4 linked regions of the Oryctolagus cuniculus genome follow. The protein of the gene in region 1 purifies or fractionates together with the protein of each later gene. This does not show direct contact. Links are inferred from orthologs where the notes say so. Each region holds a gene or a part of one and is shown on either strand. Other genes may lie near its edges.

Evidence for each region.
Region 2: the proteins of CHD8 (region 1) and KPNA6 purify together in Homo sapiens (affinity purification with mass spectrometry; 4 studies listed by BioGRID and IntAct, with this or other methods). This does not show direct contact. The link is inferred for Oryctolagus cuniculus from reciprocal best matches to the Homo sapiens genes CHD8 and KPNA6.
Region 3: the proteins of CHD8 (region 1) and KPNA5 purify together in Homo sapiens (affinity purification with mass spectrometry; 3 studies listed by BioGRID and IntAct, with this or other methods). This does not show direct contact. The link is inferred for Oryctolagus cuniculus from reciprocal best matches to the Homo sapiens genes CHD8 and KPNA5.
Region 4: the proteins of CHD8 (region 1) and KPNA1 purify together in Homo sapiens (affinity purification with mass spectrometry; 6 studies listed by BioGRID and IntAct, with this or other methods). This does not show direct contact. The link is inferred for Oryctolagus cuniculus from reciprocal best matches to the Homo sapiens genes CHD8 and KPNA1.

The regions. Positions count from the first base shown.
Region 1 is NC_091443.1:53,508,293-53,516,036, reverse strand, and holds part of CHD8 (chromodomain-helicase-DNA-binding protein 8), read right to left. Parts: intron 6,282-7,744; exon of another isoform or gene 6,189-6,281; intron 5,587-6,188; coding exon 5,464-5,586; exon of another isoform or gene 5,417-5,463; coding exon 4,527-5,416; intron 3,696-4,526; coding exon 3,324-3,695; intron 2,692-3,323; coding exon 2,309-2,691; intron 200-2,308; coding exon 85-199; intron 1-84. UniProt on the Homo sapiens protein: ATP-dependent chromatin-remodeling factor, it slides nucleosomes along DNA; nucleosome sliding requires ATP. Acts as a transcription repressor by remodeling chromatin structure and recruiting histone H1 to target genes.
Region 2 is NC_091438.1:140,305,058-140,313,403, reverse strand, and holds the start of KPNA6 (importin subunit alpha-7), read left to right. Parts: upstream 1-3,430; 5' UTR 3,431-3,445; coding exon 3,446-3,611; intron 3,612-8,346. UniProt on the Homo sapiens protein: Functions in nuclear protein import as an adapter protein for nuclear receptor KPNB1. Binds specifically and directly to substrates containing either a simple or bipartite NLS motif.
Region 3 is NC_091436.1:53,712,999-53,720,742, reverse strand, and holds part of KPNA5 (importin subunit alpha-6), read left to right. Parts: exon of another isoform or gene 1-149; intron 150-231; exon of another isoform or gene 232-418; intron 419-5,761; coding exon 5,762-5,895; intron 5,896-7,744. UniProt on the Homo sapiens protein: Functions in nuclear protein import as an adapter protein for nuclear receptor KPNB1. Binds specifically and directly to substrates containing either a simple or bipartite NLS motif.
Region 4 is NC_091435.1:78,651,878-78,659,621, forward strand, and holds part of KPNA1 (importin subunit alpha-5), read right to left. Parts: intron 5,816-7,744; coding exon 5,684-5,815; intron 4,733-5,683; coding exon 4,644-4,732; intron 4,254-4,643; coding exon 4,154-4,253; intron 2,975-4,153; coding exon 2,811-2,974; intron 1,448-2,810; coding exon 1,369-1,447; intron 1-1,368. UniProt on the Homo sapiens protein: Functions in nuclear protein import as an adapter protein for nuclear receptor KPNB1. Binds specifically and directly to substrates containing either a simple or bipartite NLS motif.

The sequences.
Region 1 (7,744 bases):
ACGTCAGCACTGAAAAGTTTCAGAGTCTGAATGTTTGGATTAAGGATGCCCAACCAGTACTCAATTATGTAGGGATACTTTTACCTGAATGCTGCTTTCTTCATCTTCCCGGGGTGATTGTGCAGGCATGACTTCCACATCTGAATTATCAGATGAGGTATTACGTTTTCTCTTCTTACCCACTACAGGAGTGATGGTGCTAAGAAGGAAAAATCAAACTCATTTTTAGTGAGGGCAAGGAAAAGTTAGGGGTGAAAACCCAACATAATTATAGGGTGGGCTCTTGCACAGTAGTTAAGACACTGCCCGGGATGCCCACATCCCCTGTCAGAGTGCCTGGGTTTGAGTCTCAGCTGCATTCCTGCCAACACACACCCTCGTAGGCGGCAGATGATGGCTCAAGTACTTGGGTCCCTGCCACCCAGATGAGAGACCTGGATTGAGTTCCTGCCTCCTGACTTTGGCCTGGCTAGCCCTGGCTTTGTGGGCATTTGGGGAGTCAACCACTGGATGGAAGACCTCTCTTTTTTCTCTGTATTCCAGTCTTTCTGCCTTTCAAATAAAGTGAAAATAAAGAAAAAACAACAAAAAATATAGTTAATCTGAACTATCATATACCAAGTTTCCAGACAGAAGCATTTGGATATTTAGTCCATGATACATTCAGATATTAAATATGGTGTTCGAAAAAAGAAAATATGTGTATTGTAAACCACTGAATGATCTTTATACTAGATCTGACAAATCACTGCCACCAGTATGTTCACAAATCCTGAAGAAAGGTAGCATAAAATAGAAAGAATGCTGGTTTAAGACTAGAAGGTTGTGGTCCAACATCACGGCACAGGCAGGTTAGGCCACTGCCTGCAATGCTGGTGTCTCATATAAGCGTGGATTTGAATCTTGGCTGCTCTGCTTCTGATCCAGCTCCCTGGGGTGCAACTGGAAAAGCAGTGAAAGTAGCCCAACTATTTGGGCCCTGTCACCCATGTGGGAGATCTAGCATATGATTTTGCATCTTGGCTCTACTTCTCATCAATGCATACCCTGGGAGGCAGTGATAGCTCAAGTGATTGATCCTTGCCATCCACGTGGGAGAACAGAATTCTGTTTCTAGCTCTAGCACAGGTCAGCCTCAGCTGTTACAGGTATCTGGGGAGTGAACCAGTAGATGGGATCTCTCCAACTCTCAAATTTAAGACAGAAGAGAGGGGCTGCTGCCTGCAGTGCCAGCATCCCATAGGGCACCAATTTGAGACCCGGCCGCTCCACTTCTGATCAAGCTCTCTGCTATGGCCTGGGAAAGCAGTGGAAGATGGCCCAAGTGCTTGGCCCCTGCACCCGAGTGGGAGATCCGGAAGAAGCTCTTGGTTCTCAGCTTTGAATGGGAACGGCTCCAGCCATTGCAACCATTTGCGGAGTGAACCAGCATATGGAAGATCTCTCTCTCTCTCTCTGGCTCTGCCTTTCAAATAAATAAATAAATCTTAAAGAGAGAGAGAGACAGACAGACAGACAGAAAGACACTAACATGGCAGCCAGTTTCATTAACACTGCCTGAGACAGACACTGATTACTGAAATCTTCTCCAAGTCACAAAAACAGGGTGGCTATATCTCTAGCAGTTCTTTTTCTTTTTCACTAGAGTGGGTGTAAAAGGGGTCATAAGAAATCACTTTCAGACTTCAGTGATACAAAATTGAGAATATATAAATACAGAGTCATAGCTTTTAAAGGTAACCCCCAACACAATGATTGGCTATCTTTCCTGTGCCTTAGTGGTTTCCACTTATTTATTTATTTATATTAAAGATTTATTTATTTGAAAGTCAGAATTAGAGAGAGGGAGAGAGATCTTCCATTCAATGGTTCACTCCCCAGAGGGCCACAATGATCCAGTCTGGGCCAGGCCAAAGCCAGGAGCTTCTTCCAGGTCTCCCACATAAGTGGTAGGGGCCCAAACACTTTGGCCATCCTCTGCTGCTTTTCTAAGACCATTAGCAGGAAGCTGGATTGGAAGTAGAGCAGCCAGGACACAAACTTGAGACCATATGGGATGCCGGCGTCACAAGCGGCAGCTTTACCCGCTACACCATAACACTGGCCCCCAGTGTTTTCCTTTTAAAACATGCTAACTTGTAAATTTCTGTTTAATCATATAAACACTGGGACAGAGAAAATAAAGGCCTTATTTTCTATGATAGGACACCTTGAACTGTGTAGTGACTCAACACAAGTTCTTCTCCACATTATTGAAAAATGAGTGCATTACCCACAAATATCCCAGCCAAATAGCAAGGCTACTCACTTGAGTTTACTCTTGCCCTTTGTTTTGGAGGCTCCAGATGTTTTGCTTTTCTTTGGCTTTTCTTCCTTCAGCCTCTCCCCAGTGCTCTTCTTCCTACGTTTCTTCTCACCTTCCTCCTCAGGTCGAACACTGGGCAACTCGTCCTCATTCAGGACACGAGGTATGTTCTGCTCACCCCGGGCACGAGCCCTAGCGATGGCCTCTGCTACAATCCGATTTGCTTTCTCTTGCTTCTTCTGGTGCTCCAACCTTCGGTTTTCCTCCATTCCTGTCTTTCCCGTGTGAGGAGCAGAGTTTGCTGGTGATGACAGAGCTGCCACTTCACTGGCACTTAGAACTTTAACTACAGAGAGCCCAGAAGAGGCCCCTTGGGAAGAGCCAGCCTATAGAAATAAAGATGCTAAAATTTCAATGTGTCTAGTTAAATGGCCTCAATAAAACAAGTTCTGAAACAGGCTAAAACCAGTTCTCTAGTTTCTCAAGAACCAGGCTCTGAATCTAGACATATTTTTTAAAATGTGTTTTTTTGGCAGGAAAGAGGTGAGAAAAGACAAAAATTCTGTCAAATCAAATTTCAATATCCCTTTGTCAAGCTCTCCTAGCAATACCTACTTCAATTATCTTAGAAAAATTGTAATTAATATAGCCATTATTGGCCTCTGGCAAAAAAGAAAAAAAAATACAAGTTCTATTTCCTGGAGGGCAGAGGGATTATTTATTTCACCTTCACAGAAGGGTAATTTCTAATTGTTTTCACTTCAAAATGATACCAGGAAAGACTGTATGTGAAACATTCAAATACGAAAATCATATCTCATCCTAAACTCAGTGAGTCTCTGATCTTTCCATGATATAATTAAAATAAGATTTCCATGGGTGAAAGAAATAAAAGTCTCCATCTCAGTTCAGAAGTATAAATCTAGAATAATGCCACAAGCAACAGTAAGTGGCTATTGAAAGCAACAGCAAGGGTCTAAGAAGTTTGCTTTTTTCCCTTACTATGTAATTCTCTCACCTGTGGCTGCAGCACCATCTTGAGTGGCACTGAAAGTCTTTGTCCTGGACTTTGTCCTGGTCCCATGATCTGAGCCTGCTGCACAGAGGACAGAGTCAGTGGCTGGGTTGCAGGTGGCTGTTGGGGCTGTGGTTGCGAAGATGGAGGTTGTGGTACAATCTGGATTTTTTGCTGTGGCTGTTGCACCTGCAGCTGGATAGTTACTACTTTGGCTGGCTGCCCCTGGGCATTCTTGGCTTGAGTTAGGGCTGCCAACTGGTTGCCCTGTAATACTATCTTGCCTGGTAGGCTCCCTAGCACAACATGCCGATGTCCTTGGGGACCTCCAGACTGTGGCTGCTGGAGGACCAGGGTGATGCGTTTCGATTCACCCTAAAGTGAAAAAAGGAAATTGCAAGAGAGTTACAATATTAAAGAATGGTATACCCTGAAATATTTATACCAGTTTTCTTCATCCTAGAGTCACAAAAATTAAGGGTCAGAAGACATAGTAACATTGTGTTCATCTACTTATCCACAACATCTCTGCCCAGCAAATATCCAGGCTATTTTTTAAAAACTCCTAATGGATGGGAGGCTCACTACCTTCTAAGACAGTCATCTCACATTAATGGAAATCTTTTAGAACAAAAGACCTTATATTGAAGTCTGCCTCCTTGTGGCTTCTTCCCACTGGTTCTATTTATTTTAGTATTGTCTGCCTATCTCAACTCTTCTGGCCCTTTATTCAGAGGACGGAACTAGCCTTTTTACTGAGCAAAGTTAGAGGGGATGATCTTAGTAAAATACATAGGAAAACAAATAATGCTTTTACAAGTCTTGCAAATATAAATAAATAATTTGCCAAAGATGTTTCTTTGTTGGCATAGGATCCTATATTTCATGAAACTTTCTATCATACATTGTTGTAAATTTTTGCTTAATGTCTATGGTTCCTGACAGACTAAGCTCTCTAAGCACAGGGATTGTGTCTGTCTGATTCAGCACCAGGTAGACACAGTAGAAACATGCAGTGTAAGTGCAGAAAATATGTTAACATTAACTGCTTTCATCTGGCAAGAAATAAGCACGTCACTGTCAACACCAACTGATAAAATGCACAGACAAGGTTTCCCAGAGAGAGCTTTCATGCACACTCACTCTCACAAAACTGCTAGGCCCACTACAAATCCAAAATTCACCTCCCCCTTTCAATCAAGTCACCTGGGTAGGTGTAGAGGTCAGTGTAACTGCAGGCTTCAGAGGGGGCCCTGTGGCCCCAGGGTTTCCAGCAGGAGCTGAACCCTTCACTGGCTGGAGGACCAGCTGCTTTACTGGTCGGCTGGGCTGGACAATGCGCTGAACAGCAGCCTGGTTCCCAGGGACCTTGGCGGCCAACACTGTATTACCAGAGACAATGGAGACACCTTGTCGAAGGGGTGTGCCAGTTAGCACTTTGGTAAAAGTGACTTTTCCACCATTGGCTGTGCCAGCCACCAAGGGCTGAGTTGTGCTGGTGATACCTTGGGCCTGAATTTGTGCCACATGGGCACCAGTGACTGAGGAGCTTGGTGGGGCCTTAAGAATAACAATCTTAGGGGCTGACTGAGGTGGCTGTCCTCCAGTGGTACTAGAGGGAACAGCTGTAGCAGAGACACCCATGAAAGGATTCCCCTGGCTCAGGATCTCCTGGCTCTTGGAGACCTGCAAAAGTCCCGACGTTGGCGTCGATGTCTGTAAGACAGGTTGGGCTGGCTGCTCCTGGCTGGCGGGCTGAGTGGTATAATCATGCAAGGTTAAAGATTCAGGAGCTGGAGCTGCGGATTCTTTGGGAAGGTCTGTGGGGGTTGTTTCCTCTGGTGGGGGGACCAGGTCACTTGCTGATGGATTCCCCACATCACCACTTCCACCATCCTGGTTCATCTGGTCCAAGGAGTCCAGAGAGCTTGGCAGTCCAAGTGCTTCCTCAATGGGGTCTTGGGTGACCTGGTTAAAGCTGTCATCAGTCAGAGAGTCCAGGCCAAATAAATTTGGGTCATCAAACAGGTCCATGATGGGGTCTGCCATCTTGGGAAAGTAATGGATGCTGTTTCTCCAAGTTCTGGGGAAGGGAAGGGGAGGGGGGGTATTGGTTCTCCCCTCCCCTCCCCTATCAAGAGAAAAATGTACACAATGGAAAAAGGATTAATCTTCAAGTAAAGAGGCAAGTAACATGTGCATGTCAGATTGTCCTGACCTTCATGGAACAAGATGGCTAGGTCTTCAGAGGAAGATGGTGGAAGTCCTGTTGCAGGAATACAAACACAAATGAAAAATAAGCAGTTGGCGACCTCGGAGAAAATTTCTCTTGATTTAATACATTGAAATAATAAAAGAAGGAAATCTATGGAAAGGCAGATAACAGAAAGAACACCCACATTTCTGCTTCAAAACTAAAAGAAACAAACTACCCCCTTTTGGAGTTCTTACACCAACACAGTCTGAAGCTTCTTTCTGTCAAGAGCATTCAGCTGTATCTGTCCATTCCTTTTCACAATTTTCATTCTTACGTGGAGATTAGGAAATTTAAAATTAATTCACCTTCTATTTTCAGTTCTTAGACTGGCAGAACTTAAAAATATACCATCAGCACTTCAGTGAATATAGATAAAAGTTTCTGGATAGATGAGGGAACTTCAAAAAGTTTATAGAAGCCGGCGCCGTGGGTCACTAGGCTAATCCTCTGCCTTGCGGCGCTGGCACACTGGGTTCTAGTCCCGGTCGGGGCGCCGCATTCTGTCCCAATTGCCCCTCTTCCAGGTCAGCTCTCTGCTGTGGCCCGGGAGTGCAGTGGAGGATGGCCCAAGTGCTTGGGCCCTGCACCCCATGGGAGACCAGGAGAAGTACCTGGCTCCTGGCTTCGGATCAGCGGCGGCCATTGGAGGGTGAACCAATGGCAAAGGAAGACCTTTCTCTCTGTCTCTCTCTCTCACTGTCCACTCTGCCTGTCAAAAAAAAAAAAAAAAAAAAAAAAGTTTATAGAAAATGTCTACTTTGGGGCAAAAATTTGATGCCCATGCTAAGTGTTCTGGCTTATAAATTTTCCTTATATTTTAGATATTTTTACTGAATACTGTCAAAAGTGACCACTTTTAACAGAGCTCACAGTACAAAATCACCAAGATCATAGTACAATTTTACTCAGCAAGTTTTGCAAACTTTATTCTAATTGGCAATTAACAAATCAATTAAACTATATATATTATCATGTTCTAGGTTTGACACCAGGTTGCTCCACTTCCAATCCAGCTCTCTGCTATGGCCTGGAAAACTGCAGAAGATGGCCCAAGTCCTTGGGCCCCTACACCCGCCATGTGGGAGACCCAAAAGAAGCTCCTGGCTTTGGATAGGCGCAGCTCTGGCCATTATGGCCAATTGAGGAGTGAACCAGCAGATTAAAGACCTCTTTCTCTCTCTCTGCCTCTCTTCTCTCTCTGTGTAACTCTGAATTTCAAATAAATAAATAAATCTTAAAAAAAAAATCATGTTCTAAAGTCACCTTTCTCATATTTAAGATTAAAAACTTCCTTTGCAGGGCCAGCCCAACGTGGGGCACAACGAGTTGAAGCCCCAGCCTGCAGCACCAGCATCCCATATGGGCGCTAGTTCAAGTCCCAGCTACTCCACTTATGATATAGCTCTCTGCTATGGCCTAGGGAAAGAGTAGAAGATGGCTTGAGTTCTTGGGCCCCTGCACCAGTGTGGGGGCCTGGAGGAAGCTCCTGGCTCCTGGCTTCGTATAAGCTCAGCTCTGGCCATTGTGGTCATTTGGGGAGTGAACCAGTGGATGGAGGACTTTTCTCTCTCTGGCTCTAGCTCTTTCTATAACTCTTTCAAATAAATAAAATAAATCTCTAAAAAATACTGTTAAAAAAAACTTTCTTTGCAAGAGATTAATCATTTTGTTTCCAATTTATATTCTCAACTTTTTCCTTACCATTTCCTATATTATATCCTGCATTCCAGGCCAACTATGGCAACCAGACTATATAGTTCCCTTAATGTGATTACTATTTCCTTAGTTTTACCTATTATGCTGTAGCTTCTGCCTGGAATACCCCCTCTCTCTTCACTCCATTCTATCCCAAACATCTCTCCCAAATGACATACTACCCACCCTCAAAGGTTTTCTACTCAATAAAGTGGACCCTGAACCTCTGCCTCTTTAACAAGTGAGCAATTAGTGAAGATATGGTCCCTCTAACTCCTTTAAGTACCCACACCAGTGTTTACAGCTTATTTAAAGCATTTTTCAAATTCAGAATTTTACTAGAAAGATTTGAGTTTCTTGTTTATATCCTCTGAAGACCCAAACAGTCTTTGTACAAATTATTAAAAGGTTGCCTGTTATTCAAATGCTTGTTTGCCATCTGCTGGAAAATGGTAACACTTAATATACAAAA
Region 2 (8,346 bases), on another chromosome or scaffold:
AAATCTTGGCTACCCAGCTGCTGATCCAGCTCCTTGCTGGTGCACCTGGGAAAGCAGTAGAAGATGGCTCAGAGTACTTGGACCCCTGCCACTCATCTGGAAGACCCTGAGGAGTTCCTGGCTTTGGGCTGGAGCTGTCCCAGGTGTTGCAGCCATGTGGGAGAAAGATTTCTTACTGTCTGTGTCTTGCTTTCTATCACCCTGCCTTTCAAATAAATAAAATAAAATTTTTTGATTTGTTTTATGTATTTGAAAGTCAGAGTTCCAGAGGGAGGGAGAGAGAGAGATCTTCCATCTGCTGATGCACTTCCCAGATGGCCACAACATCTGGGGCTGGGCCATGCCAAAGCCAGGAGCTTCGTCTAGGTCTCCCATGTGGGTAGTGGGATGATCTTCTGCTGCTTTTCCCATTAGCAGGGAGCTGGATTGAAAGTGGAGGCCGGCGCCGTGGCTCACTAGGCTAATCCTCCACCTTGCAGCGCCGGCACACTGGGTTCTAGTCCCAGTCAGGGCGCCGGATTCTGTCCCGGTTGCCCCTCTTCCAGGCCAGCTCTCTGCTGTGGCCAGGGAGTGCAGTGGAGGATGGCCCAAGTCCTTGGGCCCTGCACCCCATGGGAGAGCATGACAAGTACCTGGCTCCTGCCATCGGATCAGCGCGGTGCGCCGGCCGCAGCGCACTGGCTGCAGCGGCCATTGGAGGGTGAACCAGCGGCAAAGGAAGACCTGTCGCTCTGTCTCTCTCTCTCTCTCTCTTTCCACTCTGCCTGTCAAAATAAATAAATAAATAAATAAAATAAAAAAATAAAGTGGAACAGCTGGGACATGAGCCAGCCCCAAATAAAATAAAGAATAAAATTAAGATGAATGGAGATGTATGGTTTATAGATCAGATATAGTGTGTGAGGGGGTGCATTTTATGTCCCTTTAAAAAAAAAAAGATTATTTATTTGAGAGAGTTACACAGAGAAAGGAAGAGTCAGAGAAAGAGATTTTGCATCTGCTGGTTCACTCCCCGAATGGCCACAATAGCCAGGCAGAAGCCAGGAGCCAGGAGCTTCTTCTGGGTCTCCCACATGGGAGGAGAGGCCCAAACACTTGGGCAATCTTCCATTGCTTTCCCAGGAGCATTACTGGGAAACTGGATCAGAAATGGAACATCCAGGACTTGAACCAGTGCCCATATGGGATGCTGGCGTTGCCCACGGCAACTTAGCCCATTAGGCTACAATGCAGGCTCCCATAACAGGTTATTTTTATCTCCATTATCTCTCCTTCTGGTGCCACTGAGTAATCTTTAATGTATTGGGATGAGTTGTAAAGTTTACTAACTATAGCATCCAACAGTTGGTCTGCCTGATTTAAAGTCTTAGTTCAGCCTTGTGCCAGGGTAGCTATGATAACATTTCATTAGAAAGCCTTTCTTTTTAAGTAGGAGTACTCATTCACCAAGACATGGATTGGATCATAATTAGAAAAGAGTGATGACTTCATGAAGAAAGTATAGGCAGGTTCCCCAGTGTCTTACATAGAGCTCTTTGGGGCTCTTCTAGGTAGACTCCTTTAAGTGATTGGTAATTTTGGTATACTTTTCAAAGTATAGACCATGGTGTGTCGGGATGGTCGAGCGGTCTAAAGCACCAGACTCAAAGTATAGACCATGAAAGTAAGTCTTCAGTTAGAAAAGTGCTAGAGTCAGTAGCTGTAAAGAACACCTTAAAAACACAGAGTGTGTTATTTCAATCTATACATACAAGGACTCTTCAAAAAATTCATGAAAAAATTCATTATTATAAGAAAGCTGTATCAAAATAAACATTTTCTTTTTTTAAGATTTATTTATTTATTTGAAAAACAAGGTTACAGAGAGAGCGGGAGAGATGGGATAGATCTTCCATCCGTTGGTTCATTCCCTAAATGGCTGCAACAGCTAGGACTGGGCCAGGCTGGAGCCAGGAACTTATCTATGTCTCAAGGGAGGCAGGAGCGTAAGTACTTGGGCCATCCTCTTTTGCTTTCTCAGGTACATTAACAGGAAGCTGGATTGAAAGTGGGGCAGTAAGAACCCATATGGGATGCCAGCATTGCAGACAGCAGATTAACCTGCTGTACCACAACACCAGCCCTCCATTTTCTCATTAGTTTTTGGAAGTATACTCATATTTGTGAGCTTGAAGGTGTAATGACATCATTCTTAACCGATACTCACAGTAGCTGGGTTATTTGTGAAATGTTTTTCTGAGAAAATGCATGTTAAAAATCTTAAGAATTGGCCGGCGCCGCGGCTCACTAGGCTAATCCTCCGCCTAGCAGCGCCGGCACACCGGGTTCTAGTCCCGGTCAGGGCGCCGGATTCTGTCCCGGTTGCCCCTCTTCCAGGCCAGCTCTCTGCTGTGGCCAGGGAGTGCAGTGGAGGATGGCCCAAGTCCTTGGGCCCTGCACCCCATGGAAGACCAGGAAAAGCACCTGGCTCCTGGCTCCTGGCTCCTGCCATCGGATCAGCGCGGTGCGCCGGCCGCAGCGTGCTGGCCGCGGCAGCCATTGGAGGGTGAACCAACGGCAAAGGAAGACCTTTCTCTCTGTCTCTCTCTCTCACTGTCCACTCTGCCTGTCAAAAAAAAAAAAAAAAAAAATCTTAAGAATTTCACATTTTTAAGACATACCGGTAATTAAATGGAGCACTATAGCAATTTGGGACTCATGTGTTACCTGTTCTCTGTTTTGTTTTGTTTTGTTTAGTTTGCTAGGGCTACCATAACAAAACACCACAGACTGGGTGCTTTATTTTCTCACAGTTCTGGGGCTGGAAGTCTAAGGTTAAGGTGTCAGCAGGGTTGGTTTCTTCTAAGACCTCTCTCCTTAGCCTCTGGGTAGCTGTCTGCATATTTACTTGGTGTTTTCCTTCATAAAGATAGTAGGTACTGGATTAGCAATGACCTCTGTAACCTTATTTGCCTCTTTAAGGGCTTTAATGAAAAGAATAATTACCTTCTGAGGTACTGGGGGTTAGGGCTTCATCGTATGAATTTAGCAAGACTACAGTAGCTCAGCCATTTCAGGGTCCATACCTATTTTGTCTTCTTGTTGCTACTCCCATGGTTCTAAAAGCTTAGAAAATGCTTGGCAGCATTAGATATGTATTCCATATATTCCCTAGAAATAAGAGGTATAACTTCAGTGACCTTTGATTGAGTTCCTTGACTAAGAAAACCCAAAGCTATCTAAGACAGAAAAGATTTTTGATGTGGATTTTCTAGATCCAACCCCAGCAAGTAAGGGATTGTACCATGGAAAAAGTCCCTGTACTGCTGGATCCATGAAAGATAACCCAGTCTTCTTTTGGTCGATTCCACATGTGCTTTTCTGCAGATGTTCCTTTCACACTCCCTCCCTTGCCTGCTTTTCCAGTGAGGTCATAAGCAAGTATTTGTGATAGTTTCTTGTCACCATGGTGACTAAATCACAGCCTGGTTTTCATTCCAACTTTGCTGTCAACTCTGCTCGAAGGTTGGGAAAGCCTCTGGGAGACTCCAGGTTCAGACTCATGAAAAACCACGTGTCAGGTACCAGGGTAGAGGCGTTCACAATGTTATTCATGAAAAATCATGCGTCAGGTAACAGGGTAGAGGCGTTCACAATGTTATGTTCAGGAATCTGTGCTCCGCCTGTTAGTCTCCAGGCACAAGGATAATCAGGACCTAAAGGATGGTCACTTGAATCCCTTGGCATTTATTTATTTCTTCCTTAAGCTGGGCCTCTTTTTTGAAATGCAGAGAGAGAAGTTCCATCTGCTGGTTCACTCCCCAAATGCCCACAACAGCCAGAGCTGGGCTGGACTGAAGGTCCATATGGGTCTCCCACATAGATAACAGGGAACCAAGCACATAAGCCATTGTCTGTTGCTTCCCAGAATACATTAGCAGGAAGCTGAATCAGAAACAGAGTACCTAGGACATAAACTGGCACTCTGATTTGGAATGTGGGCATTCCAAACAGGAGCTTAATCCACTTATCCCCCCCCCCCTATTTAAACAACAAATCCTCTTGATTTCCTCAGAGATGGATTCAGCCTGTTCTCTTTAACTTCAAGTTTTACTTTTCTTTCAACCTGATGCCCTTGTAGACTACTTTTCCTCCTTCACTCCTTCACTATGTGCTTTCTTGATCCATTTCCATTCCCAAAGTCAACGCCTGCTTGAAGAACCAGGCCAAATGTTATCTTTCAGAGATTACTTTTTTTTTTTTTTTTTTTTTTTTTGACAGAGTGGACAGTGACAGAGAAAGACAGAGAGAAAGGTCTTCCTTTGCCGTTGGTTCACCCTCCAATGGCCGCCGCGGCCGGCGCGCTGTGGCCGGCGCACCGCGCTGATCCGATGGCAGGAGCCAGGAGCCAGGTGCTTCTCCTGGTCTCCCATGGGGTGCAGGGCCCAAGCACTTGGGCCATCCTCCATTGCACTCCCTGGCCACAGCAGAGAGCTGGCCTGGAAGAGGGGCAACCGGGACAGAATCCGGCGCCCCAACTGAGACTAGAACCTGGTGTGCCGGCGCCGCAAGGTGGAGGATTAGCCTAGTGAGCCGTGGCACCAGCCAGAGATTACTTTTCAAACTCTGTTGTCACAGTCACCCTTACACCTCCAGAAAAAGGCAGTATTAGTTTTCCCTTTCAGTGTATCTAAAAAACTTACTTTTCATCCGTTTTGCAATACTTTTATTCACTGTTTCAGATTACAGGTTGAGAGGACTGGAAATACTGATCAAGGGAGAACCAAGTTGGTGAGGCTTCAGGCCCTTCTCCCCATGCTTCAACACTGTCAGCATCACTTTTATCTGGTTTTACACATTGAGATTCTTTCGTTTTATAATTTGTAAATGTCTCTGTTTTTATTTATTTGAAAGACAGTGGAGACAGAGATCTTCCATCTAGTGGTTCACTCCCCAAATTCGCACAATAGCCAGGGCTGGGCCAGGCTAAATCCAGAAGCCAGGTGTCGCATCTGGTCTCCTTCATGGGTGGCAGGGACCCAACAACTTGAGCCATCATCTGCTCCTGCCTCCCATTATGCACATGAGCAGGAAGCTGGATCAGAAGCAGAGGTAGTACTGATCCCATGCCCTCTGATATGGGGTGAGAGTGTCCCAAAGTAGTGGCTTAAACCACTGCATCATAGTGCCCACCCCCACATTGGGATTCTATGACAAATTTTTTTTAATTTAAAAAATATATTTTTATTTATCTGAAAGGCAGAGAGACAAATCTCCAGTCTGCTGGTTCACACCCCAAATAACCACAACAACCAGGGCTGGGCAAGGCCACGGCTGGGAATTCACTGTTAGTGTCACATGTGAATGGCAGGGACCCAAATACTTGACCATTGCCTACTGCTTCCCAGGGTGCACATTATTAAGGAAAGATGGATCAGAGGTAGTACCTGGATTTGAACCTAGGCATCCCATCTGGCATCTTCACAAGTGACAAAGGCCCACTCTGAATCAGATTTAATTGAAAGAGGTGCACTGCAGTTAAAATTTTTTTTAAGGGCCGGCGCTGTGGCACAGCAGGTTAACACCCTGGCCTAAAGTGCCGGCATCCCATATGGCGCCAGTTTGAGACCCGGCTGCTCCACTTCCAATCCAGCTCTCTGCTGTGGCCTGGGAAAGCAGTGGAAGATGGCCCAAGTCGTTGGGCCCATGCACCTGCATGGGAGACCCGAAAGAAGTTCCTGGCTTCTGGCTTTGGATCGGCACAGCTCCAGCCGTTGCAGCCAACCATTGGATAGAAGTGAACCATTGGATAGAAGACTTCTCTCTCTGCTTCTCCTCTCTCTTTGTAATTCTGACTTTCAAATAAATAAATAAATCTTTAAAAAAATTTTTTTGGCCAGTGCCACGGCTCAATAGGCTAATCCTCCACCTGCGGTGCCAGCACACCGGGTTCTAGTCCCGGTTGGGGCACCGGATTCTGTCCTGGTTACTCCTCTTCCAGGCCAGCTCTCTGCTGTGGCCCGGGAGTGCAGTGGAGGATGGCCCAGGTCCTTGGGCCCTGCACCCGCATGGGAGACCAGGAGAAGCACCTGGCTCCTGGCTTCGGATCAGCACGGTGCACCAGCTGCAGCGCACCAGCCGCAGCAGCCATTGTGGGGTGAACCAATGGAAAAGGAAGACCTTTCTCTGTCCCTTACTGTCCACTCTGCCTGTCAAAAAAAATTTTTTTTGTTGTAGTGAAATTGACTACTTCAACCATTTTTAAAAATGTTTATTTTCATCTACTTGAGAGGTAGAGAGAGAGAAGTATCTTCTACCCAATGGTTCATTCCCTAAATGGCTACAACAGCTGGGACTGGGCTAGGAACTCAGAACTACATCTGGCTCTTCCATGTGAGTGGCAGAGACCAAAGCATTTGAGCCATCATCTATTGCCTCTTAGGATACATTAGCATGAAGCTGAATCAGAAGTGCAGAAGAGGCAGCTGGAATTAAAACTAGCACTCCAGTATGGACTGTGGGTGTCCCAAGCAGTGGCTTAATCTCCCATACCACAGTGACCACCCCTCAGCCATTTTTAAATGTACATGTATGATACAGGAATATTTGTAAAATTTACAAGTGCTATGTGGCCATTCCCACTAGTTATTTTCAAACTTTATCAAACCGTATAAATTCTGTACCATTAAGTGGTAATGCCCATTTCTCTTCTTTCTAGTGCCAAGTAATCTCAAATTTTAATTTCTGTTTTTAAATGAGTTTGACTCTTCTGAGTGCTTTATTATATGAAGTTCTATAATTTGTCCTTTTATGTCTTTTTTTAAAGATAAGTTTGCTTATTTATTTATTTATTTATTTGAAAGGCAGAGTTACACAGAGGCAGAGAGTAAGTCTTTCCATATGCTGGTTCAGTTCATTCGCTAAATGGCCACCACGGCTGGAGCTGGGCCAAACTGAAGCCAGGAGCTTCTTCTAGGTCTCCCACGCAGGCGCAGGGGCCCAAGGACTTGGGCCATCTTCCACTGCTTTCCCAGGCCATAGCAGAGAGAGGGATCAGAAGAAGAGCAGCCAGGACTCAAACCAGCGCCCGTATGGGATGATGGTACTGCAGGCGGTGGCTTTATCTGCTATACCACAGCACCGCCCTCCCCCGCTTTATGTCTTGCTTATTGTATTTGGTATACTGTCTTCAGAGTTCATCTGTGTATGTCAGACCTTCATTCTTCTGTCTAATACTCCATGAAATGGATATACTACATTTCATTTATCTGTTCATCTGTTGATGGATGTTGGGTTGTTACCACACTTGAATATTGGCTGTAAGTATGTATCGGCTTGAGTCCCTGTTTTTTGTTTTGTTATTCCATTCTAGTAGGTATGAAGTGGTTTCTTTTTGTGATTTTGATTTGCATTTCCCTAATAACTACTGATGTTGATCGCTTCTCAGCCTTTTGGGTAAGATCAAGTATAATGATGTTGAGGGGCTAGTGCTGTGGTATAGTGGGTAGAGCCTGCTGCTTGCAGTGCCGGCATCCTGTGTAGGTGCCAGTTCAAGTCCCGGCTTTTCCACTTCCAATCCAGCTCTCTACTGTGGCCTGGGAAAGCACTGGAAGATGGCCCGAGTCCTTGGGCCTCTGTACCCGCATAGGGGATATGGAGGAAGCTCCTGACTCCTGGCTTTGGATCGTTGCAGCTCTGGCCATTGTTGCCATTTGGGAAGTGAATCAGCAGATGGAAGACCTTTCTCTCTGCCTCTGCTTCTCTGTAGCTTTATCAGATAAATAAAGAAATCTTAAAAAATATTGTTGAATATATTTTTTTAATGTTTATTTGAAAAAGTCAGACAGAAAGGGAGAGAGAGAGAGATCTTCTGTCTGCTGGTTCACTCCCCAAATGTCTGTAATGGCCAGAACAATCATTTGGGGGGGGGGGGGTAAAGATTTTTTTAAAAAATTTCTTTCTTTATTTGAAAATCAGTTACAGAAAGGCAAAGGCAAAGAGAGAGAGAAGTCTTCCATTCACTACACTAGTTCATTCCCCAAATGGCCACAACGGCTGGAGCTGGGCCAGTCTGGAGCCAGGAGCCAGGAGCTTCTTCCAGGTGTCCCATGTGAGTGCAGGGGTCCAAGAATTTGGATCATCTTCCACTGCTTTCCCAGGCCAAAGCAGAGAGCTGGGACCCAAACCAGTGCCTATATGGGATGCTGGCACTGCAGCAAGGTACTTAATCAACAACACCACAGCACCAGCCCCAGGTAAAGATTTTTTTATTGGCACACATTGTGGTGTAGTGGGTTAAGCTGTTGCCTTCGATGCTGGCATCCATATGGGCGCCAATTCAAGTCCTGGCTGCTCTACTTTTGATCC
Region 3 (7,744 bases), on another chromosome or scaffold:
TGTCCACTTTCTCCACATTCATAGCATTCGGATTTATCAAAGTAGTTTCATCTTAGGATGAATTCAGCTGCTCTTTCCTTGTCGGTAGCAATGCTTGCTTTAATCACTCTACCAAAGAACTGTTGTTTATCGCTCTGGTGCAGTTTTTTATTTTTTAAAGATTTTATTTATTTATTTGAGAGGTAGAGTTATAGACAGTGAGAGGGAGAGATAGAGCTCTGATGCAGTTTTGCTCAGTCTTTATCCAAAAACAAAATGAATGCAACCCCTTTACTCTTCCTGGTATCTTTATCTTTCATTATAGTAACCTTTACAACTTTGCCATACTTGGAAAATATCCCATATAGGTCATTGTCAGGGAAAAGGGTAAGTTGGAAACACACATGGTGCTTTTACTTGGGACCAATCCACCACTCATTTCTTCAAATGGGGGTTGGTGGTGTGGGAGCCTTCTGCCAAGCAGGCTCACTCCTGACTCCTGGTGCACCCTTGCTGTAGCCTGGGTTTGCGGGTGCTGGATAAGAGCAGGCACCAAGAAACAGACCTGGGCGGCCGTGGGCCCCGGTGGCGGCACACTGAAAGTCCACATTTTTCAACTGAATTGCAAAATCGTGTATCCTCTCTTTAAGGCTTCTCACAAGCATTTCTTGCTCAGGTACACTAGATTTCTTACAGTTCTGTGGCTGTGCTAGGCTTCTTCAAACACTTTGCTTTGTCTTCCATCCTCTTTGCTTGAAATGAATATTTTCTCACACATGTAAAGTAATACTTTATAAAAAAAAAAGAAATGAATATTTTCTCCCTTCTCACTTTCCATCCTCTTCCCTGGCAAATTTCTGTTTATCCTTTAAGATAGGGTAACCATGAAGCCTTTCAGAGAATCCTAAGGTATACAGCTTGTTGCTATATCTTCAGTGCTCTCACTGAAGTTAATGTGTATGTGTTAATGTACTACTCACAATGAGATTCACTAGGGCAGGTGGTTAGCATAGCAGTTTAGAGTCCACTTGGGACACCTGCATCCAATGTTGGGATGTTTGGGTTTGAGTCTCAGCTCCACTCCCAATTCCAGCTTTCTGCTAATGAACACTTTGGAAGGCAGCTGATGATGGCTCGAGTGGTTTTGGCCCTGTCACCCATGTGGGAGACCTGAATTGAGTTTTGGCTGCTGGCTGTGGCTTGGTTCTACCCTGGCTGTTGTGGGCATTTGTGGAGTGAACTAGTGGATGAGAGATCTCTGCCTGCCTGAATCTCTGTATCTCCTTGCCTTTCAATAAGTAAATTAAAAAAAAATTGCCAATTTTTTTGGTGTGTTTCATCTACTTCACAGATGGAAGCTGGATGCCAGCCTCTTCATTTCCTGTGTTTACTTAATAAGCTGATTAATCACAGTGTTCTATCTGGTTGGACATGAGTATATCCTCTGAATTTTTCAGAATAACATATTAACTAGTCACTAATGATCTCTCACGTTAATCTTAAGTAGACTGATTATTTTCTTTGTGTGTAAATGTAGCATAGGTTATAATATGAGCATTTTGATATTCATATCTTATGTCTAAATATAAGGTAATTCTGTTAGATTATATGGAAGTTTATAATTCATTCTTTAGAAGTAAAACTAGTACATGTTTCAGATGTAAAATTTTATATTATAATATGTATAATAAAATATTTGTATTAATGTTCATATTTTAAGATATGTTGAAATAAAACTAAAAATGAAATGCATAAATATTTCAGTATTTCAAAAGAGCTAATTATACTAAAGTACTAAAAAACTGGTATTGCAGTCATAACACAAGTCATGGCCCTTGTGGCTTTAGTTCTTAAGGCCGTGTTTTAGTGAAAGAAACCAGGCTCCAATAAATGGTTGAGATGTGCTTACTCAATCCTAATACTTTTAATTGAAAAGAAGACACTTCAGTGCTGGCTGGTTTTCGATTTTTGCCAGAAGCTATAATTTAGAAGGTTTTTTTGTTTTGTTTTGTTTTAAGCACTATTAGTTGATGATTATATCCTGACTCACAGTGAATGTACAATGCAACCTACTTAAGAAAGGTTAAAATTGGGGGGAGGGGGAGAGATGAAGGATGTTGCATCTTACAATCAGTGAAATAAGGGGACTTTGTGTTTAGACCAGAATCTCTTATTTGTTTAATATTGCTATGATATGGCCGGTGCCACGGCTCACTAGGCTAATCCTCTACCTTGTGGTGCCGGCACACCGGGTTCTAGTCCCGGTCGGGGTGCCAGATTCTGTCCCAGTTGCCCCTCTTCCAGGCCAGCTCTCTGCTGTGGCCCGGGAAGGCAGTGGAGGATGGCCCAAGTCCTTGGGCCCTGCACCCCATGGGAGACCAGGAGAAGCACCTGGCTCCTGCCATCGGATCAGCGTGGTGCGCTGGCCGCAGCGCGCCGGCTGCGGCGGCCATTGGAGGGTAAACCAACGGCAAGGGAAGACCTTTCTCTCTGTCTCTCTCTCTCACTGTCCACTCTGCCTGTCAAAAATAAAAATAAAAATAAATTGCTGTGATATGCATATAATTTGTCCCCACCAAAACCAATATTGAAATTTAGTTGCCAATGGAGGGGCTTTGGGAGTTAGGGCCTTTAAGAGGAAGTAATGTGTTTTGCAGGAATGGATTGATTCTCAAGAGTGGGTTATTATAAAATGGGTCAACTCCTTTGTCTTCTCTTCATTGCACATACCTACATGCCCTTCTGCTTTTCATCACACATGGAGAAGCATGAATCTCTCCTGAAAGCTAAGGAGATATTGGTGTCTTCTTAAGTCCTAGAACTGTGAATTAAATAAACCTCACTTTTCTTTATAAATCACCCAGTCTTGGATGTTCTGCTAAAGCAACAGATATGCACTGAGAAAATTAGCACTAGGAAATGGAGCTTTTGCTAAGACTAAATACTCGAAAGTGTGAAAGTGGCTTGGGAACTGAGTAATGGGCAGAGGTTGAAAGAGTTTAGAGGAACAAGATGATTATGGGTGATTCTGATGAGAGCTCAGAACACAAAAAGACTAGAGAGATTCTGGAACCTTTTATAGACTGCTTAAATGGTAGTGACCAGAATGTTGCTAGAAATGTGGACATTAAAGGCCATGCTATTGAGATCTCAGATGGAAATTAGGAGTATCATATTGGAAATGGAACTGCAGGCTATCATTTTTAGAAAGACATTGATGGCATTTTGTCCATGCTCTTGGCTTTATGGAAGGGCAAATTTAAGAGTTCAGAAGATCTAGTGGGGGAATTTTCTAGGCAAAATATAGAGGGGGCACGTGGTTACTTTTAACTTCCCATGCTGAGATTCAGAAACAAAGGAGTGGTTTAAAGACAGAGTTTGGAATTAAAAGAGAAGCAGAGTGGAAAGATTTGGAACATACACAGCCACCTGATGTGAAGGAAAAAACTTGTTTGGGAGAATAAAGCAAGGATATTTGTTCAGATTGAAGGGAGTTGCACACTGTATTCATCAGGATAAAGGGAAAGAAGACGTGAAGGAATTTCAGAGATCTTCCAAGTTTTCCCACCTACATCATAGGCTCAGACTATTCAGTGCTGCCCAGAGGTACACTAAACAGTGCCATGTTTTGAACTGCCTCTCAGAAGGCACAACCAGTAAGCCTTGGTAGCATTCATATGCAGGTGGTGCTACTTCTGCAGGTACAAGTATTCAAGAGCTGTGGAGGTATAATAGCCTTCCCCTAGATTTCAAAGGATGTATTAAATTGCCTGGGAGTCCAGGCACAAACCCACTGCTGAGCTGAAGTCACCACAGAACATCTGTACTAGGGCATTGCCCAGTGGAGCCAGGGAATTGGGATCACTCTGTGAACTATAGACTATTGAGCCCACAGTGGTGTACAGCACCTACCTAGAAAAGATACAGTCAACTGACTCCAGCTCTAGACATCAGCCACATGAGCCAAGACCAGAAAAGCTGAGTGTGTGCTCAAGGTTTTCTAAGGTATTGGGTGTCTCCACCCAAGTTGTCCAGGAGGTAACAGATGGTATGAAAATGTATTTGCAGTTTTGAGGTTTAATGTCTACTCTCCTAGTAATATACTTGCTTTAGGCCAGTTACTGCTTTTTTGGCCAGTGTTTCCATTTTGGAATGGTAACGTCTATCTTATCCCTATTCCACTGTTGTACATCAGCAGTAGGTAACTTGTTTTGATCTTATATGCTCATAGCTGGAAGGAGTTTGCCTTAAATCTCAGAAGAGACCTTGAACTTTGGACATCTACATTGTTGCCAGGATGAATTAACATGTTTGAGATTTTGGGAATGGAATTGTATTTTGTATGTGTGAAGGATATCAATTTTCATGGGCCAGGCCCAGGTTCTATGGTTTGAGTGTAGTTTGTCCCCAGTGAAACTGAGATTTGTTTGTCAGTATATTGGTATTGGGAGGTGAGTCTTTTTTATTTTTTCAACTTTTATTTAATAAATATAAATTTCATAAGTACAACTTTTGGATTATAGAGGTTCTTGCCCCATACCCACCCTCCCTCCCCCAAACCATCCCACTTCCTACTCCCTCTCCCATCCCATTCTTCATTAAGATTCACTGTTAATTATCTTTATATACAGAAGATCAACTATATACTAAGTAAAGATTTCAATAGTTTGCACCCACACAGACACACAAAGTATAAAGCACCATTTGAAGACTAGTTGTACTGTTAATTCTCATAGTACAACACCTTAAGAACAGAGATCCTACATAGGGAGCAAGTGCACAGTGACTCCTATTCTGGATTTAACAATTGACACTCTTCTTTATGATGTCAGTGATCACCCAAGGCTCTTGTCATGAGCTGTCAAGGCTATGGAAGGAAGCCTTTTGAGTCCACAAACTGACATTATTTAGACAAGGCCATAATCAAAGTGGAGATTCTCTCATCCCTTCAGAGGAAGGTACCTCCTTCTTTGATGGCCCCTTCTTTCCACCAGGATGCCACTCACAGAGATCTTTCGTGTAGGTCATTTTTTGCCACAGTGTCTTAGCTTTCCATGCCTGAAATGCTCTCATGGGCCTTTTAGCCTGATCCAAATGCCTTAAGGGCTGATTCTGAGGCCAGAGTGCTGTTTAGGGCATTTGTCATTCTGTGAGTCTGCCAAATTTACATTTCCTTTTCTCTTATTCCCACTTTTATTTTTAACAGGGATCAATTTTCAATTGTATTTCAACACCTAAGAATAATTCTGTGTTAAGCGTTCAACCAATGGTATTAAGTAGAAAAAGAAAATACTAAAAAGAATAAAATAGTAAGCTGTTGGGTGGTGAGTCTTTTAAAAGGGATTATTATCTTTCTGATAAGACTGGATTAGTTCTCAGGGAAAGAGGATTGTCATAAAGCAGGCCAACACCCTTGTCATCGTCTGTCTTCTACACTTGCCCACTTTCCTGTCTCCTTTTCTGTTATGTGTGCAGTAGCTAGTGGCCCTCCCTGAAAGCCTTCCAGCCTTTATGATTGTGATTGAAAATAAACTTCTTTCCTTTATAAATGCCCAGTCTTAACTGTCTGATATAACAGCAGAAAATAGATAAAGATAAATATGTTACTTCTAAAATATTTTATGACAATCTTGTGGGACTGTGAGAGTGTGTTCATCGTTTATGTTTTCAGGATGGGTTTTGTTGGTGTATTCAATCAGTAGGCTTGAATTTAATTCCCCTGGAGTAAGCATCTGTGTTATTTAGAGAATTATCAGTATCTGTTTTCTTCTCTCCACTTAAGATGCCATGGCTAGTCCAGGGAAAGATAACTATAGAATGAAAAGTTACAAGAATAAAGCGCTAAATCCTCAAGAGATGAGGAGAAGAAGAGAAGAAGAAGGAATACAGCTTCGAAAACAAAAGAGGGAAGAACAGGTAGGTGTATTTAAATATTTAATTGTGGGGGCTGGCATTGTGGCTTAGCTGGTTAAGCCACAGTGTGTGATGCTGGTATCTCATGTTGGTGCCTGTTCAAGTCTTGGCTGCCCCACTTCCAATCCAGCTCCCTGCTAATATGCCTAGGAAAGCACCAGAAGATGACCCAAGTCGTTGGGCCCCTGCACCCATGTGGGAGACCCAGATAGAGCTACTGACTTGAGGCTTTGGCCTGGCCCAGACCTGGATGTTGTGGCCATTTGGAGAGTAAATGAGCAGGTGGAAGATCTCTCTTTGTCTCTGTAATTCTACCTTTCAAATAAAATAAATTAACTCTTAAAAAATAATTAGTTGTATTTAGCAATACAGTTTTTCAGAGGTTTTAAAAGTTTAATTAGTATTGCTGAATGTTAGACAATTTTAAATTAAAAAGTATCTTAGGAAATTGAATGTAGCCAATGTATTTTTAGTTTTTTAGACTCCAGGAATAATACATTCAAATTCCTCTACTATGGGGGCTGATGTTGTAGCTTACTAGGCTAAGCCTCCGCCTTGGTGCCAGCATCCCACATGGGCACCAGTTTGTGTCTTGGCTGCTCCTCTTCTAATCCAACTGTCTGCTATGGCCTGGGAAAACAGTGGAAGATTGCCCAAGTCCTTGGGCCCCTGTACCCAGGTGAGAGACCCTTCTGGCTCCTGGCTTTGGATGAACACAGCTCCGGCCGTTGCTGCCATTTGGGGAGTGAAACAGTGATGGAAGACCTTTCTCTCTGTGTCTCTCCCTCTCTCTGTCTGTAAATCTACCTCTCAAATTAATAAATAAATTCTTTTAAAAAAATCTTTTATTGCTTTTAGTCACTGAGAGGAATGACTTTTCTCTGTTATTGATAAACCTTTATGTGATCACTGGTAAGAAATTTTTACTTTTGAGTCTATTTAGTCATTTCTGTTTATCATAAAATTTGTTCCCCAAAATATGTTAATTATATTTATTTGCTGTTTTGTGTTTTTCATAGCTCTTGCCCTGAAGTCACTTATAGTCATTTTTTTAAAAAAATATTTATTTATTTATTTATTTGAACCTCAGAGTTACACAGAGAGGGACAGATGGGGAGAAAGATAGAGATATCTTCCATCAGAGAGAGTTCTTCCATCTGCTGGTTTACTCCCCAGATGGCAGCAAGGGCCAGGGCAGGGCCAGGCTGAACCCAGGAGCCAGGGGCTTCTTCCAGTCTCCCACATAGGCGGTAGGGGCCCAAACACTTGGGCCATCTTTTGTGGCTTTTCCCAGGCCATTAGCAGGGAGCTGGATTGCAAGTGGAGCGGCCAGGACTCAAATTGGCACCCTTATGGGATAAAGACAATTACAAGCAGTGGGCCAACCTGCTATACCATGATGCTGGCTCCCTAGTCATTTTTGTTTACTACCCATACTATTCCTCTTGTAGTCTCCTCAGCCATATGTCTTAATTTCTCTGTTTATTCTTTGTATATGAGACCAGAAAATCATTTGAGAGAGTGTATCTCATGATACACTTAAATTGATAAATATTTATAAGTGAGAGGATATGCTCCACATGTACATGAATTAAAACTGATGAAGGAAGCAGAAAAATACATGTTTTAGAACTATGGTTACTGGCCGGCGCCGCAGCTCAGTAGGCTAATCCTCCGCCTAGTGGCGCCGGCACACTGGGTTCTAGTCCCGGTCGGGGTGCCGGATTCTGTCCCAGTTGCCCCTCTTCCAGGCCAGCTCTCTGCTGCGGCCAGGGAAGGCAGTGGAGGATGGCCCAAGTGCTTGGGCCCTTCACCCCATGGGAGACCAGGAGAAGTACCTGGCTCCTGCCAT
Region 4 (7,744 bases), on another chromosome or scaffold:
AAAAAGAAAAGAAAAAAAAATCCATGATTTGACATACATAATTCTACCTCTAAGATATCTAACCAAAGGAAATTATAACAGACTGTTAAGTGAACACCAAGAGCCTTATATGACTATATACAATAAATGTACACATGAACATATAGTCAAAATATAAAAAGGAAATATAATAAATTTTTTATAATAAAAATACTACTTTTATATTCAGAGGTCCCTGATACCCACATGGGTGACCAGGACTGAGTTCTAGGATCTTGGCTTCAGCCTGGACTAGTCCTAGCTGTTGCAGACATTAGGGGAGTGAACCAGGAGATGGGAGATCTCTCTTTCTCAGCCTTTTCTCATTTAAAAAAAGGAAAAAAGCTAAAGCTGAAACCCAATTCACAATTCTCAATCCATCTATATGAGGATGATCACTGAAATTATAAATAATAAGGCCTATGAAGGAAGTGGAGAGATTGCCCCCTAGAAGATGCCCACAAACAAGAGGAAAGGAAAAGGAGTTTGCTGAGGAGAAATAGTCGGTGAGGCTGAAAAAAACAAAATAAATATCTCAGAAACCTAGAAGACAATTTAAAGATACCATAGGTGCATCTGAGACATTAGAAAGAAAAATGGCTACAATTATCACTGGAAGTGATCCTGTCTGACGGTAAAATTGAATGGACTTCAGAAAACAGGAGGGAACAATCTTCCTCACATAGGAAGACTTTTCATATACAAAAGGAGGAAGCTATCAGAAAAGATATTAAGATGATAGAGGGGCCAGCACCGCGGCGCAGTAGGTTAATCCTCCTCCCATGTCACCAGCATCCCGGTTCTAGTCCTGGCTGTTCCTTTTCAAATCCAGCTCTCTGCTGTGGCCTGAGAATACAGTAGAGGATGGCCCAAGAGCTTGGGCCCCTGCACTCACATGGGAGACTAGGAAGAAACACCTGGCTCCTGGCTTTGGATTGGGGCAGCTCCAACCTTTGCAGCCATTTGGGGAGTGAATCAGTGAAGGGAAGACCTTTCTCTTTGTCTCTCCCTCTCACTGTAACTCTACCTCTCAAATAAATGAAAAAACAAACAAACAAACAAAAAAAACCTTAACTCAGAAAAAAGATCTTTTCTAGAACTTTTGATGCTTACAAGAACCATTCCAAGAGTAGAGTGAGACAAATCTGCCTGACCCAAAGAAAAGTCATTATCATAGGGGGACTCAAAAGTGCTACAATAGGTCAAGAGATAGTGAAGGTTATAAGAGTACATGCCCAAGATAACATTTTAAACAAATATTGGCCTAATTAAATAGAATTAAATATTATAAAGAAATAACAGAGCTCAACATATTGTTTTGACAAAAAACAAACTGCCACTTATTCATACCTGTGTCTGAATATCATCTCCTGTGACAATGTTTCCCACAGCCCGCAAAGCAGGAGAAACCACTTTATAATCATTATGCCTGTAATCATAAAAAGAAACATTACAGCCAACAGTTCTAACCATGGTCTCTTTTCCTTAGGACCAAAATACAAAAGAAATAATGTGTGATAGGATTTAAGGGCAGAAAGGTACTATCAAGATGATGGAATTTATTTTTGGAGAAAAACTTGCAAATCTTTCCTAATAATCTTTCCCAGATCAAGTGGATTTCAAATTTACCCTCACTTTCTTTAACACAGGTCTCATGTCCTTATTACCTGGTTTTTTGTGATAATGGAGAGCAACAGTGATTATTCGCACAATTTTAAGTTATATAAATTGTCTAGTCTTCACAGACTAGACACTTAAACTACCTTGAAAAATCAAGGTAGAATTCATACTTCAATACTGAACTTTTTCTACTAAAGCTACTATGTCTTCACTGGTCAAAAAACCATCCATATGAAGCTTTTGTTATACATTTGAAGAAAGAAATTAAGTCCTAATGTCAAGCTAAATAATGCCCTTTAACTTTCCTTCAAGGTCCTATTTGCTCTCTCCTCTAACGAGATTGATTACCTTCTCAAAAGTGTAGCAGTTCCTTCTTACTTAATATCTGATAACTAAAAAATAAATGGTTTAAAGCATGTATGAACCTAATGACTAAAGAATACAATAACTTTCCAGATTTTAAATGCTATACTACTGAGTCCTGAACCATCATGTTGCTTCTAATCCACAACAGCACAATGTTACTAATCTGCACCCAGCCTATGGTCAACTATAAACCCAAAGTCTTGTATTTTGTGCATTAAATTTATGTAACCCAATCCACATGCCACATGTGAGACAATGTCCCCTGGCATCTGCTTTGCACTTCAATTAAATTTTATGCTCCTTATAATTGTAGATTTCCTTCATTAAATTATTTTATTTTTTCTTCTATTGGACTACCTGAAAATCTGAAACAGTCTCAAATCATTTACATTACTAGCAAATCTTCCATTACATCATCAAAGGCACCCCAAAGAGAATAAAATAAGATTAAATGTCTGACACTAATCTAAATGCTAAAGAAGACAGAATAGGAATGACAATTTTTAGTGGCAATATGCCTTTTGATACCGAGTGGTTGGTCTGAAGTTATCCAGTATGAGCTGAAACTATACAGATCAGTGTTCCAAATGTTTCCACTGAAGGACTGCTAGAGCAGAAACCTGAGAGATTCTTTAAAACCAAAATACCAAAACAATCTGATATGGACATAAACAAGTAACAAAAGAACACTAGCCTAAAAGCACTATTTATCAGTATAATATACAACTAATATTTAATTATTAGCAAATAGAAAACTAGTAGCATGGGAGAAGGGGCAAGCAGGCATTTTCTGAATGATATCTTACATCAGTAGCTCCACAAGTCTCCTACACACTCCTGCATCAATGACTGCTTGAATTTTATCATTGGGTCCATCTGATAGATATGAAAGGGCCCAGCAGGCATCAGCCAGTACATCAGTGTCACTGACAAACAGTAACCAGGAAAGCACATTCAGACAGGGGGAAACCTGTGAAAGGAAGATAGAATGATTATGAAATTTAACAGGATAAAAGACAAAGGAGATGAAACACTCCAGAAGGCAGTAAGTCATACACTAGGTGATTTACACTTCTGGAAATGGAGCAGCAAGTGACTAAGTGGCATTTCCATCCTTAGGAATGCTGCCAGTGGTTTGCAGCTTTTTTAAAGTTTTTAAGCTTTTTATTCAGTGGGAGAAATGCATAGGAGAGTGCAGGCCCCATCTAAGAGAGGGAAATTTGGATTCATACTATGTACCAGGAACCAGCCATGTGGAGGAGCATGCAGGCCAGGAAATGTAGAGCAGCCAGGGCCCACAATGGCAAAAAGTCCCCCCACCCCCTGAAAAAAAGGCTGGGCCCACCGTGTCCCAAGCCTTTAATCCACGTCCAAAGGCAAGTCTGATTGGCTGGTGGTCACACATGTGTGGCCAGGTAGGGGCATGAGGTCACACAGGGGCATGGTGAAGGCGTGGTCTTCCAGTTAACAAACCTGATCGATTTTATCCTATATACCTGCCTACATCATTACCCTCTCAGAAACTCCATTCTCTTAATCCTAAGGGATGTTGAAGGGCACAGAATCATATCTTCTATAGCTGCTTCTTGCTTATGAGGGGCGTAGTACAGGCCCAGCCTGTCCGGGTCTGGAAGTCTCCACCTTCTTATCTAACAAATTTTGCAGCTTATTATGATGAGGCAGTCAAAGCTCAAGAAAAGTAATTTCAGAAGCAAATTCTTACAATGAGGTTCTTCCTCAAAATGCACTATTTGTAAGCTGAAGAGGTAAAGGAACTAGGAAACTTGGTATTTTAGATACCAAGTTTGTTACAAAGAAAAAAATGCTAGGGGGTTTTAAGATGAATTCAGGGATTTTTAAAACAGAGAAAAAATAATTCCAAATAAAAACAAATAAATACAAAGAGTCCGCCTTTTCTAGAAACTGAAAAACCTTTTTATTATTTTAAATTTTACCAAAATAATCTTTCGATAAACATTAATACTGGATGAGGCTGGTGCTGTGGCGTAGTGGGTACAGCCACTGTCTGCAGTGCTAGCATCTCATATGGGCACCGGTTTAAGTCCTGGCTGCACTTTCGAACACTAATATTGGTTGCCATATTATTCAATTGCATTTTTTCTGCCTAATTTCCCACGCAAATCCTCACCTTTGCAAATTCTGGTGGTGGACTCTTCCCTCTACAGAGATTAGACAATGCCCATACTGCATTCCGGGTCATGGTCAGGCGGTTTTGCTTTGAAAATAACCTAAAAGCAAGATATATATATATATATGTAGATACAGATAGATATAGATATATATATATACATATATAATATATATGATACTAAATTATGTAATAGACATTAATTCTCTGATGGCATAAAATATAAACACTATTTAATGTTACTGATAAACAGATATCCTCAAATAGTTTTCCTGTGGAATAACTTATTTAATTATAATGTAACTAATTCAGAATTTTGGCACTGGAATAAAACAGGTGTTTGAACAAATGATCTGAACAAGTTAACGAGAAAACATCTGGAAAGAAAATTAACAGGAAGCCCAAAATGATTTCCAAAGAGATACTACTTTCTGAGGAATTCCATATCTTTATTTTTCAAAAGAAAGAAAAGCAAAAAGAAAGAACTTACTGCAAAAGAGGAGGAAGGATATTGCAGTCCAAGACATAATCCCTGCACATAGTACTATCTCCAGCAATGTTGCCTAGAGCCCAGACTGCCTGTGAAAGAATTATTAATTAAGGACAGTTACATAGTTTAATTCCTTCATAAGTCTTTCAAAAAATATTCCAGCATATCACAATAACATCTGTTAAAGTTATAGAGTCGTTAACCAACATTTTATACATGGATTATTAATATTCCCCAATTCATTCATCAAGGAACCAAATGAAACAGTTGTGGAACTGAGATAAGATGATCAATAATATTCTAAATTTCACAATAAACAGAGGGGTAAAGAACCATTTTTTACAATCTTCATCTTAGGGATGAATCCCCTTGCCTAAGCAGCCATTCCATATAACCCTCGACTGTTAGAAGTCAGAAATTCAAATGGCTTACTCAGCTCATTAAGCATGTAAACACGGAAGAGCAATCAAATCCAGATAACTTTATTAAACTTTTATGGGTAACAGATGTAATTATTTTTATCATAATGATGGTTCCATTTGTATTATCAAACTGTGCACTATAAATATATGCAATTCACTCTATGTCAAGGATACCTTAATAAAGCTGTAAAAAAAAATGCCCATTTAGCTGTAATTTATCCCCATTAACTTCATAAAGTTGGCAATAACCAGAAATAATTCACGTTTTCTATGACTTCCTGTACACAATGGCAAAAATCTTCCACTTCAATCAACACTAACACTAGAGATTCCTGCAAGAAAAAGTTCTATTAATAACTGCTTACGTGGTCTAAAAAAGCATTATCTATAGGATTAAGGAATTCAGGGATGGATTGGAAAAATGATTTTATATGCCTAGGAGAAACTGTGTGCAGAGTCACAAAGAAATTTTCTATTTTTGGTTAAGTTAGATTTCTAAAAAAGTCCCTGTGACTAACCAAGGATTTAATGTGGCCAAGTGGTGAAACCTGGGCCCTGAGTATGACTGAAGGGAAAATTTTTATTCTTTCATCTGCTTATCTTTGTTTCACTTCTTACCTGTTCCTGGACATCTTCAAACTCTGAGCTTAGCAACTCTATGAAGATAGGCACAGCTCCTGCCTGAATCACAATCCGGGTCTGAAGAGAATTTCCTGAAGCAATATTTGTCAGTACCCAAGCAGATTCAAACTATAAAGATAAAAATAATTTGTATTACCTTATTATAACTTAATGGCTTGATTACTTGAAATAAAAAAGCCTGCTATACACAGAACCTATCAGTTAAATTCTGTCTGAATTTTAAAAGAAGAATCCTCAGAAGAAATAGCTTCACCTAGAGAAATGATCAGGGTGGCTAGAATTTCAGATCAAGGTAGAGTTGACATGAGACCATAAAAAAAAGTAAGGGGGAGCCAGGGCTGTGGGTAAAGCCACCGCCTCAGTGCTGGCATCCCATATGGGCACCAGTTTGAGTCCCGGCCGCTCCACTGTTCCGATCCAGCTCTCTGCTATGGCCTGAGAAAGCAGTGGAAGATGGCCCAAGTGCTAGGGTCCCTGCACCTGTGTGGGAGACCCGGAAGAAGCTCCTGGCTTTGGATTGGCCCAGCTCCAACCATTGCAGCCAAAGGGGAGTGAACCAGCACATGGAAGCCCTTTCTCTCTCTCTCTGCCTCTGCTTCTCTGTAACTCTCTGCCTTTTAAATAAATAAATAAATCGTAAAAAAAAAAGGGGGGGGGGGAATGCTTCATATGCTGATACAGAATTATCTTCAAAGGTATAAATGGGGAGAAAAAAATCAAAACAGTGTATATCATCATACTGTAACATCTTACGGGTTAAGAAGAAGTCATGCATTAATTTATTGCATAGATTATGTAGGAGCCACAAGAAGCTGTAAGTACTTGATACCCACATGGTATGTGTGACAGAGGAGTAACGATGGGAAAAACAGTTTTCACTGAAAAGCCTCCTGTGACTTTTGGCCTTGCATTATGCATATTATCTAATAAAAAATAATTTCTAAAAGACAGGCAAAGTGAAATGGGGACAGAATATTAGTCTAAACCAGATAAAATAAAGTCACAGTGAAAGGGCAAAAGATATTTAAATGTTAGGTAGGTCAAAAAGAGTTAACAGGTATACAATTAAAAGAAAAGAGCATGAACACCTAAGAGTTTCCAGTAATTGTGAAGGCTATAAACCAAGCACAGAGGTTAAGACTTTTTGAGGCCGGCGCCACGGCTCACTAGGCTAATCCTCCGCCTTGCGGCGCCGGCACACCAGGTTCTAGTTCTGGTCGGGACGCCAGATTCTGTCCCGGTTGCCCCTCTTCCAGGTCAGCTCTCTGCTGTGGCCTGGGAGTGCAGTGGAGGATGGCCCAAATACTTGGGCCCTGCACCCCATGGGAGACCAGGATAAGTACCTGGCTCCTGCCTTCGGATCAGCGTGGTGCGCCGGCCGCGGCGGCCATTGGAGGGTGAACCAACAGCAAAGGAAGACCTTTCTCTCTGTCTCTCTCTCTGTCCACTCTGCCTGTCAAAAAAAAAAAAAAAAAAAAAAAAAAAGACTTTTTGAAAAGAACATTCTTAATAGGGAGATAAAAATGGGAGTAAATGAATAAAACTTAATATAGCATTACAGCACTAGTAAATACAAGATATAAAGAAAATTATGGGGACCAGCACTGTGGCAGAATAGGTTAATCCTCTGCCTGTGGCGTCAGCATCTGTATGGGCGCTGGTTCGTGTCCTGGCTGCTCCTCTTCAAATCTAGCTCTCTGCTATGGCCTGGGGAAGCAGCAGAAGATGGCCCAAGCGCTTGGGCCACTGCATCCACATGGGAGACCCAGAGGAAAGCTCCTGGCTCCTGGCTTTGGATCGGCCCAGCCCCAGCCGTTGCTGCTATTTGGGGAGTGAACTAACGGATGGAAGACCTTTCTCTCTGTCTCTCCTTCTCACTGTCTGTATCTCCAACTCTCAAATAAATAAATAAATAAATAGATAAAATCCTCAAAAAAAAAAATTATGGACAACAAAAAATACAGTGTATTACTAATTTATGTATGTCTAACAGTAAGTTGACTGGTTAGCCTAACACTGAGAAATGGGATTTCTAGA